Linked DNA regions of Lonchura striata. The protein of the gene in region 2 binds, or shares a complex with, the protein of the main gene of each other region. Links are inferred from orthologs where the notes say so. Each region holds a gene or a part of one and is shown on either strand. Other genes may lie near its edges.

Region 1 (5,554 bases), about 25 Mb from region 2:
TGCATGGATTCCCAAACCCGCACAGGTGTAAGAATGGCCCTCATTCAGTTTCAGGTAAGAGGGGTGTGTCTGCCTGTGGACACACCATGCACCTTTGTGCACGGCAGAAAACAGTGAAAACATGATCCAATTTACAAGCTGATTGTGCAAGAGAAAGGCAAGACCCTGGGGCATAGTCGGTGCCTGTCTGGATGTAGGTGACCTTCCCCAGCCCTGCAGGTGCCCTCTCTCCATTTCAGCCCCTCTCTGTCGGGCTGGGCAGCACCGCAGCACACGTGCAGCACAATGTGAAGTCACTGACACGATGAGCAGTGGAAAATGTTTGTACCAGCCACAGAGGGGTGCAGGTGCTTGGCAGCAGCAGCACTTTGATCCTGTTCACACCAGCACGCCTCAATTCTCACATCTAGCACTCTCCGTGGAGACACTCAGACATGTTTTGCTTAAATGAAGGCACTGCACCATCTGAATCACTGTTTTTGTGATACAGCAGCCCCAGTGTTTGGTAAGGATTGGGGTAGAGAACACAGGTTGACTTTAACTGCGGTGGGAAGTGTTCTCTGCGGGCTCCAGCAGCTTTCTGGAGCAATGCCTCACAAACTTACCCACTTCCATGTCACTGGAACCACAGTTCAGTCCTGTGTTTCTAACCCACACCTGCCTAGTGTAGGACACTGAGCTGGGTACTCAGGAGTACCTCTAAGGTAACCAACAAGATCCAAGCATACACTTTATCCAGAAACTGTAGGAAGGTTACAAGGCAAAAGCCTCCTTTATTTCAACATTTTAATGAAATATAATAGTTTTTCTACTTGGACAAACATTTGGTTTTACTAGCAGAAGTATCTAGAAGTTCACAACTCCAAACACGGATTTAAGAAGCAGCATCCAAACTTTTAATCTCTAGATCTTGTTTAAGTGGACTTCATCATTCCTTTGTTTCCTTGAAAGAGGTTAGTGGCTTGGGGCAGTGTTTTATCCAGAAGATAAACATCTCTTGATGGTTGCACTACAGTTGGCTTTCATCCTTTACTGCCTGAAGTCCAGTTTAGTTTCAAGTTTAAATTAGAGATATGTTCCACATGGCTTGCAGCACAGTGCTTTTTCCATCTCATTTCTCCAGGGGTGCATAATTCAAAAGCTTCTCAATCAGATCCACATGGGCGAGGAGCATTCTGCGGCAGCAGTATCTCTTCAAGCCAAGGGCATCCAGGGCATCTCTATTAACGAACAACAATTAAAAAACATAACAGATGAAGTGAGTCAGAACTACTTGTAAGCGTTTCCTAAGCAACACACTGATTACTTTGAGCTCAGTCATAGAGGAAAATTTGTTTGCAGTTCAAAGACAGACAGAAATTCAGCATGTGCTGTTAATGCCCTTTTCCATTTAAGTGTTGTTGAGTGTGTTTGCCCATTCTCCAGCCGGCCAGAGCACATCATCTGCTGCTGAGAAGGGTCCCCAGCTGCCACTGCTTTCAGAGGGCACTGTTTTAACATGTTTCTGTAAACTGAGGATGATTCTTGTCTATTTCACAAGATAAATTTAAGATCTGAGCCACACTAAAAAGGTGAGATATACAGAAACTAAAATAACTCGGAAGGCAACCTCCCCCATATAGGGATGTTAATTCTGAGGATGGCTACAATCCTTTCCAGCTCCCATGGGAGAAGGCACTCAGTTATACAACCTGCCCCCCACATACATACAAGTAAGTAGGTGCAGACTGGTCAGAAATCAGTGTTTTACTGAATTCCACTGAATTCCTTTGGAGTGACTGCTCCAGATTCTTCTGTTTGGGTAGAGGATGTTGAGTCATCCTAGCCCGAACCAATGTGGGTGTTTTCCATGGCTGTGGCTATCAGACTCTTAAAGGTCACGATACCACCACGATCTTTAGCTGCAACCTATGAACCATAAATCCAGTCTGATACTCCTTCAGAATGTGACATTTGCGAGACATGACTGATCTCAGGTTTATATGATGATACTGATATAATGCAGTGCAATAAAGCGTTTGCTCAAAACAAACTTAATTTCCTGGAACTCATAATTCTCCTGTAGGAATAGGCCAATGGATACTTTTCTAAAATACAAATGACTGAAAGGAAGCCTCTGCCTAAGCTGGACCATGGTAAAGTGTTGTTTGGCTTCAAGCAGTACAGGCTAACTGCAGGAGCCAACTTCCAGCAGCTTCTCTGATGTCACTCAGTCCTTGCAACTGTTGATGGTGCAGCAGGGCTGCTCGCTCTAGGACAGCACCTGCAAAACTTGTTTTAGAGGAGTATAACAACACTGTGGGGCATTTTAAAGAATGTTTATAAATAACATCACATGATGTAACAGTTTTCCAAAACACTTGAGAAGAAAAGCATCTGATGTCTGTTGATAGGTAAATTTTAAAAGCTATCTGGAGAGTTCTGAAGTCTCATATGCAGTTATCAGGGATGCAAAATACTAACATTAATCACAATTTCCAAAGGCATAAGACAACTTTAGTTGCATTTGCCTTTTCTTCCAGCTTCCAAGGACTTGTGGAAAAGAGCACTTTTAAGGGACAAACAGAAAGGCGTGGATGTCTTTTTCAACTACTGATTCTTTAGACAAGTTTTCCCATTTTGTCCATCCATTTCTTAAGCCACCATTACCAGTGATTCCAGTACTGCACTGTAAGATTTTAGTTGTTTGATCTCTGTAAACTCTACTTCTTACAACACCATAATTGCATTAGTTTGAACAAGCATCCCAGAATCAAGCCAGTGACCACAACAATTGCTTTCAAGTGAGCATTTGTCAACGACAACACAGAACTCCTATACAAAAGCAGAGGAATAATAAAGATAGGGAAAATATTAAAATGTAATGCCTAGAATATATGTCAGAAGCTCTATCAAAAAAGCCCTGGTAAACTGTAGTAGGAGTAAAAAAAAAAAACAACCCATGGTATTGTAATGCTTTTAACCCCATATATGAAATAAACTTACCTGTAAAACTGTTAGGATCCCCAACCACTTGAATGCAAACCAAATTATTTGCTTTCTACTTAACATCTACTTTCTACTTCAACATCACGTAAATTTCTCTTTCACTCCTCTGAGCTGCAAACATCCATGGGTATTTTTTTCTGTTTCATACTTGATGAAAATGTAAGTATTTCTCAAGTTTTATTCTCAAAGCTCCTGAGGTAGTGTCAGGATAGTTAAAACTCTCCTTGAACTATTAGCAGAAACTGGCTATGCAAAGGATGCACAGACTTCTTACCACAGAGTTGTTAGGACTATCAGTAGGGTATCTAAAGTGGTTAAATCTTCTTTCTCCAGCAAATCAATACTTAAAAATAAGGTTAGCATCCCTGGATTAAAATGCTTAAAAAAAAAACAAACAACCCCAACAACTAAAACCGCTAAACATTTCTTACACTTCTTTTTCTTCTCTCCCTTTAAGAAACTGATCACGTTGGTGTCAAAATTGGGTATATCAAAGGGGAAGGGAAGAAACAAGGAAATGTGCACAGAGTTACATATTTGGGAACATTTTGGAGACTGAGCAACTTCCACACTGCTGCTCTGAAAGATACAGTGGAGAAATAAGTACTCGGTTGCCTACTGCAATTTCTAACCTTTGGTTATACAACCTCAGAATGTACCTGTAGTTTTTAGCCTCCCTACGTCTCTTTTATGACGCCGCGACCCTGCACTCGTGCCTGTGGCCCTGCCTTGGCAGGGAGGTTGGGGGAGATGATCTGCAGCACGTCTGGGACCTTATGCACCGCGTACCTCACACAGGCCGCGAGTCCAGCAACACAGAGCAAACTCACCCTTCCGTGTACTCCGCCTGCAGGAGGCCAAGGTAGGCTTCCCACTTGTTCCCCACTATCTTGCCGCACGTGAAGCACCGGACCGGGATGATCATTTCTGCGCCGTGGCTGCAACGACACCAACCCCGCCTCAGACCCCGCCGGAGCCCCGGACACCGCGCTCCGCCGCCGCGCTGAGGCTGCGCTGCCCGCGCCGCCACGCACGGCCCGGCGGCGGCTCTGGGCTGCAGGGCCCGGGCCCGGGGGCTCCCTCAGGTGAGCGGCCGATCCCGATCCCGATCCCGATCCCGATCCCGATCCCGGGCCCGCGCGCAGCTCACCCCGCGCGCCTCCTCCGCTGCCGATGGCCGCCGGCCGCCACCACCGCGCCCGGCCGGGGGAAACCGCGCCGCCGCCGGCCGGCCCGACGCGGCGGGCGGGCGGGTTGAGCGGCCCTACTCCCCCCTTGTGCACTTGATGGTAGCGGCCCGCGGTACGGCGTCCCCGGCGGCCCAAGAGAGCGAGCGCGCGCGCGCGCGCGCGCGGGGGGGGGCGGGCTCGCGGCGGCGCCGGGCGCGCGGCGCGGTGAGTGGCAGCCGGGGCGCCCCGAGCGCTGAGCGGCGGCACCGCGACCGCCCCCGCGCCGCCTCCTCCCGCCGCGCCCCGGCGGGCACTTGTTGCATTGCGAGAGGGCTTCGGCAGCGGGCGGACTTCTCATCCCGTCCTGGCTGAGGTACCGCAGCGGGAAGCGCAACTGGTGGCTGCGGCGCGGCAGCCGCCCGCCCGCTCCGGCGGAGGGGTGAAGGGTGAAGGGTGGGCATCCCGGCGGGCAGGGCTGACGGGGAGCCGGGGCGCCCCGCGGCAGCCCCGCCGGCGCGGCGTGTCCTTCGCTCCCCCGGGGCAGGGGAACGGGGGGCGGTGGGACCCGCCGCTGGAGCCGCGTCGCGACCCGGTCAGCGCAGCATCGCGGAGCCGCGTCGCTCGGGGCTGCTTGCCCGCGGCTCGGCGGCTCCCGCGGGCGGGAGGCGGCGGCACAGCCCGCTCCCGGCGCTGCGGGCTGCTCGCGGCTCCGCGCAGCCCGGACAGGCGCTGTCTCCCTGACGGCACTCGCCCCCGAGCCCCGGCCGAGCTGCGGGCGCTGCGCTGGCTGCGGGGTTGCCGAGAGTTTCCAAACTCCGCGGCCAGCCGGGACGCGGCGCCGTCCCGTTATCCCGGGGTGCTGCTCGCCCTGCTGAGAGCCGTGCGCCGCTCGGTTCCCAGCGGTGCGCGCTGCCCCGGTGCCGCCTGCTGCCGCGGCAGTGCCCGCAGCGGGGGCAGCTCTCGGCTCGGGGCACAGGCAGCGGCTGGCCGGGGCAGCGCGGCCGGTCCCGCTGGGCACCCGCGCCGGGCAGCTCTGGCGGCAGAGGATCGTGCATCTCGAAACTGCTTTACTCGCTTTTCATTAATCTAAGCATTGGGGAAGCATTAGGCACGGGCTGTGTGTGCTCAGCGGAGGGAAGCGTGCTGTGATGGGTACAAAGTTTGGGGACGGGCACCGCTGTTCTGGAGGCTCTGGGATGAAGCATTCCTCTGTCAATCCTTATTGCTCTCTCGTTTCAGCGTTAGCGTTATGCTAATTGTCCTTGGGAGAGCAGAAATTCTCCCAAAGTGATGTTATTTTCCAGCTAAAGTATCTGTGAGTTGATACAATGCACAGCGCAGAGCCATTAATGTCAGGCATATAAATAATTGTGTCTTAATGCACAGCTTATGTTAAT
Region 2 (5,554 bases):
GGGCTGTGCACACAGGTCTTATCTTCTGGAAAGGCAGTCTGGTGAAATATGGAAAGGACTATGACAACAGTCTGAGGCAGCACTGCTAACATGCTCAAATGATAATTATTTTTAACTATTTAGTAAGCCACTCTAAAAAACTGGGCCCTCCCAGGTAGGTTCCAGGGTAGGAAACTGTAGCCATGCAATGCCTTGTTTTGAAGAGAAAAGGGGTATGAATGGCAACCTGATTCTTTCCTGGTAACATGCCAGTCATTTTGGCAGTTTTGTTTCACAGTGAAATACAAACTTTTTGCAAGAGACTACTACATTCCTATCAGATGTATCAGAAATCAAATGACACCAGCATCTCAATCAATCCCTGTAATTCATTCATCAGACCGCGAATTAGGGCTCCTGAGTGGGCAGATCTTCCTCAGTCCCATTGGCTGTGCTATGCAGGTGGAAAACTCCAGCAAAAAGGTGAGGTTGGACAGATGAGAATGGTAGAACTTTGTAAATTATACTATTATTTTGGCCAGGGCTTCAGCAATGTGCACAGTGAATAATGACTTAATCAGTGAACCCACTCTAAACCAACCAGTCACGTCCCTATACAAAGCCTGCAGTCCAGCAGGAAAGGTAGTGTGTATTCCTGTAGAAATGAAAGATTTTGAGGAACTGGAGAGGAAGGCCTCCTGTACCCACTATACCCACTAACAAACTCCTCCCCATCAAAAGATACCAGACAGGAGTTCCTGAACTTGTTACTGGGGTTAGCTAATAGAGAGGACTTCAGGCTGAAGGTTATTTAACAAATGTAGTTTACACCACCACAATTGTTGAAGGCATGTAACCTACTACGCCTTGTTTATGCCAAATCAGAATTCAACATTATTTTTCATTTATGCTTGAGTGGACTTCACACAAGTGAGTTATTGATGGAGATCTAAGGGATGAGTGGAGTTCAGAAGTTGTGCTAAGGACTGAGTGAAGGTGGGAGTGGTCAACACAGATGGAACAATACTCAGAGTTAAGAAGATTTTCCCATACGACATACCTCTCATAGGTTACCATAGAGAAAGAGGATAAAAAGGGAATGGAAGAATAAGATAATAAAAAGGGGAGAATGGAAGTTAAGCCAGCTGACAGAGCTCTCACAACCTCTTGCACAGATGGGAGATCCTGTTGCCACTGACTTGACGAAGAACTGTTAAAAGCAGCAACATTGCAGATCAGTAAGCACCTGTGGGCCTTGAGGAGACCCTGAGGAAGGACAGCTGTAAATGCTTAGGTTGTGCTGCCTCCCTCTTCCTGGCCACCTCTAGCCTCAGCTACTAGCCCCAGTGGTAGCACTCTCCTACAACAGTGGCACATAGGCCTGGGCAGCCTTTAATCAACTTCTTGTGAGGGAAAGCACCAGTGCTCACAATGCTGAGCAGGGTTCAGAACCCCTTCCTCGTGGGCCCAGAAGAGCCATTTCTGTCTAGTAGTAATTACTTGCAGTTTTTAATTGCCTTGGAGCAACCTCCTGGGGACCGAGGTGAGGCGTGTTGATTTCTGCAGAGCCTGGCACCAGCTGTCACCCGCAGCTTGGACAGCAGGGCCCGAGCGTGTGAGGGCTGCCAGCTCTTCTCCCAGCACTGTGCCCTGCTGCAGGCACCATAGCCCAGCCCTGGTCAACAGCAGCTGAACACAGTCAGGTGTGCCCTGGTGGCCAAGAAGGCTGATGGCATCTTGGCTTGTATCAGCCATAGTGTGGCCAGCAGGACCAGGGCATTTATCTTCTCCCTCTACTTAGCACTGGTGGGGCTGCACTTTGAATTCTGTGTTCAGTTCTGAGCCTCACTTCAGGGAGGACATCGAGGGGTTGGACCACGTCTAGAGAAAGGGAATGAAGCTGGTGAAGGGTCTGGGACACAAGTCTGATGAGGAGCAGCTGAGAGAGCTGGGGTTGTTGAGCCTGGAGAAAAGGAGGCTCTGGGGGATGTTTTTGCTCTCTATGACCACCTGAAGGAAGGTGGTAGCCAAGTGGAGATTCATCTCTTCTGCCAGGCAACCAGGGACAGGACAGGGGAGGTTGAGGGTGGCCATCAGGGTGAATTTCTTCACATAAAAGTGATTAGACACTGGAATAAGCTGCCCAGAGAGGCGGTGGAAGCATGATCCGTGGAGGTGTTTAAGGACGTGACACTTAGTGCCCTAGTGTAGCTGACACGGGGCTGTTCGGCCATTGGCTGGACTCCACGGTCTCGCAGGACTTCTCCCAACGAAGCGGTTCCGTTTGTCCGTCCCGCGCTCAGGCGGGCGGGGAGAGGCGAAGGCGCTTCCGCCTCGCTGGGGCCCGGCCGCGCCGCCACTTCCGCCTCGGTAGGTGTCATGGCGGCGGGGGCGGGGCGCCCGCGTGACGCCTCGGTCCCGGCGCGGTCTCGCGGCAGCTCTCGCGGTGCTTCGCGCCCCCCCCGCCCGCGTCCCCCGCTCGCCGGCCGCTCGCGCAGCGCTCGGCTCGCGCTATATAAAGGGGCGAGGCGGCAGCGCGGCGGCTGCAGCCCCGGGGCCGCGAGCGAGCCCGGCACAGGCCGCGGGGCCGCCCGTCAGCCGGGGCGGAACGCGCGGGCGCTGGGGGGACGCAGCCGGGCAGGTTTATTGTTTTAGGGGCGACTCCCCCCCCCGCGGTTGGGGGCGTCCCGGGGGGCTCGGGACATGGCGAGCTCGACTAACACAAACCCCGTGGTAAGGACCGGGTCGGGGGGCGAGGGGGGCCCCGGGGGCAGCGCGGGCGGAGGTGGCCGGCGGGGCCCGCCGCCCCCTCCCCCGCACTCCCTTCCCTCCCGCCGCCCGCCTCGGGCGGTCCCGGCCCCCCGGCGGGCAGGGGCGGCGGGGGGCGCCGGGCAGCCTCGCCCCCGCGGCGGCAGCCAACTTGTGGCGCCCGGCGGCGGGGAGAGAGGCGGCGGGAGCGGAGCGGCGGGGGCGCGGGGCGGCGGCCCGGGGGCGGCCCCGCGGGGAGGCCGGGGGTCCGGCGGGGAAGGGAAGGAAGGGCCGCCGGGCGGGGGGCGCCCGCCGCCGGCGGGAGGCGCCCGGGGAAGGGGCGAGAGCCGGAGCAGCGCGGGCGCTAACGCCCGCCCCGAGACGAGGGGAAGGGGCGCCCGAGCCAGCTTTCGGTTCTGCGGCGCTGGGGAAGCCCGCCTGGGCTCCGCTGGAGCCATTTTATGTTGCTTTGTAAGAAGGAGACGATGGTTGAAAAGCACTTATCCCACTCCGGCCGGATCGGCTAAGCCGAGCGAAAGCCCTCAACTCTGGCGAGCGAGGCAGTATTTATTTTAAAAAGAGAGAACGAAGAAAAAAAAAAAAAAAAACCGCAAAAAACCCCAAACCCAAACCTCTCCCCCGTTCCCTTCTCGTGCTTTCTGCACCTTGGCGGGTGGCTCGCTGCTGCACTTGTACTCACAGAGGTTTGCAACAAGCAGTCACACAGACCTGCGCTGCCACCGAGCCCCCCCGGCCGCCGCTCCGCTCCCCGGCGCGCCCCCGGCCGCGACCCCCGCCCCGAAGCGCTGGAGGAGACAAACCCGGCGTCCCGGCGGCGGGCTCGGCCCCCTTGTTTGTGGCTCTCAGATCCATCATGGCTTCCCCCTGCCTTTCTGCCTCCCTGCTCCTTGTGTTCCTCCTCCCTGTGGCTGCCCTGTTTATATAGCGCTATTGCCGCTCTCTAATATAGACTCTGCTAGGATGGGAAGGTGCTTTCCAGCCCCACGTCACCGCCTCTCCATTTAAACACCACATCAGCCTTTAAATAGGGAGCGAGCCGCGGAGCGCGGGCTGGGAGGTGCATGCGGCGGAGGCTGGGAGACGGGCGGCTTGTCCCTCGGATCCCGGCCGGCCTTGCCCATCGCTTTCTCTTCCCTCCGCGCCGCCCGTCCCCGTCGCCACCGGGCTGCGGAGCGGTGGTGCTTTGCGGGTGCGAGGGTGTCTCCTACCCGTGTAAATGAGCTTTCTTTTGCTTCTACGCATTGCACAAAGACGGTTTTCATCTGCTCCTGCATTTGAATCTGTCCTACCCTTTACCTTTTTTTTTTTTATTATTATTTTTTTTTTATTTTGCTTGGTTAATTTTGGGTTTGCTGTGGTTTTTTTTTTTTCGTTTATTTAAGGTTTGGGGTTTTTTGTCCTTGGCGTAGAGCTCGCACACGTTCCTGTGCTCCTGTAAAGTCTTCAAAGTAGCTGTTCTACTGCGTGGGGAAAGGAGTGTTTAAACGGTTCTTACCCAGTGTATCAAGGAGAGTTGTGGTATTTATTTTATGGCGCTTTGCCAAGATCTGACTACAGCTGTCTCCCCAAAAGTGAAGTTAACATTCAAGTTTTATGCGTGGGTCATGGGCTGCAGATGCTGCTCAATGATTTATGTGTGTTTCTGGTGCCTAAAGTGTACAAATATTTTATTGCATTCCAGGCAGAGCAGTGGTTTTGGAATTTTCACTACTTAGTTTCATTACAGTATTTGATATACTACAAAATATACAAAAGAAAATGCAAAGTGTCTTAGTTTTCTTTTCCTAATCTGAAATGTTAAGAGACCTGCTTGTGAGTTAGGTTTATGCAATTGCATAATATCTTTGATTTGATATTTTGTCAGCTTTTGTATCAGAAAATTTTAGGAAAGTAGTCAGCTGTTACACAGAGGGCAGTTACTCAGCAGGATGCACATTGAATGCGTGTGATTTGAATCTTCTTTAGTTTATGATCTTCTGTTTATGAACAGTCCTTCTGTTTATGCACTTATTTATTTGTGTTTTTATTGTAAGGAAAGGTTTTATTTCAGTGTAGTAAACTAGAGGCTTTTCCTCTCTTTCTTGACTGAAGTAGTACTGAATGGCAAAAACAATGCCTGTAAATATTTTTGATTAAGCTATTTACTAAGACTTGCTTTCTTCCGCTGTATTTCTGTGCTGGAAGTTCTTTTGAAAGGTGTCGATGTTTGGAATAGTAAAAGCCAAGTTTAAAATGAGCCTGCTTCAGATAGGTATGCTTTAGGCTAATTTTCAATTAAGCAGTAAAATCGTACAATTTTATTAAGTTTGGTCTCATTTAAGAAATGTATTATTTACGTAAAGGTTGCCAAAGATGAGTAGGAGAAATGCTGCAACTGTGACTTTAGGAAGCTGGACTAGGAGCCTAATGTGTCAATGGCATCACGTCAGCATCTGATCAAATCTGAATTGCTAGAAATCTGTTCTCTGTAATAAAGGACAAATATTAGATGTTAACAGTTATAGGTAGTATATGATTTTATGGGTGATAAAGGTAATATATTTGTAGAAGTCCACAACAATATAAAAAAAGCTAAAATCTTAATGCTTGCAGTGTAGATTATATATGTTACTTTGTTAATGCACATCTTTGGTGTAATTGTGACTAGAAGTAGTTACCTTTACAGTGTGCTCTGCTGGCTGCCTGTGGGCAGCTTACAGTGGTAACTGCACAGCTGGGAGAAAGATCAGCAATGTTTCAGAGAGAGCTGCAGAGGCAACCAGGAACAAACTGTTATCAAATGTACAAAGCATACTGTGGTCTGTCT

What was found. Proteins that work in one complex are often made in the same cells at the same time.
Region 1: GTF2A1 (region 2) and POLR2L share a complex: the UniProt entries of both Homo sapiens proteins name them as parts of the TBP-based Pol II pre-initiation complex. The link is inferred for Lonchura striata from reciprocal best matches to the Homo sapiens genes GTF2A1 and POLR2L.

Annotation. Positions count from the first base shown.
Region 1 is NC_134608.1:44,945,931-44,951,484, forward strand, and holds POLR2L (DNA-directed RNA polymerases I, II, and III subunit RPABC5), read right to left. Parts: upstream 4,214-5,554; 5' UTR 4,139-4,213; intron 3,927-4,138; 5' UTR 3,914-3,926; coding exon 3,819-3,913; intron 1,221-3,818; coding exon 1,112-1,220; 3' UTR 749-1,111; downstream 1-748. UniProt on the Homo sapiens protein: DNA-dependent RNA polymerase catalyzes the transcription of DNA into RNA using the four ribonucleoside triphosphates as substrates.
Region 2 is NC_134608.1:20,385,851-20,391,404, forward strand, and holds the start of GTF2A1 (transcription initiation factor IIA subunit 1), read left to right. Parts: upstream 1-2,541; 5' UTR 2,542-2,682; coding exon 2,683-2,712; intron 2,713-5,554. UniProt on the Homo sapiens protein: TFIIA is a component of the transcription machinery of RNA polymerase II and plays an important role in transcriptional activation. TFIIA in a complex with TBP mediates transcriptional activity.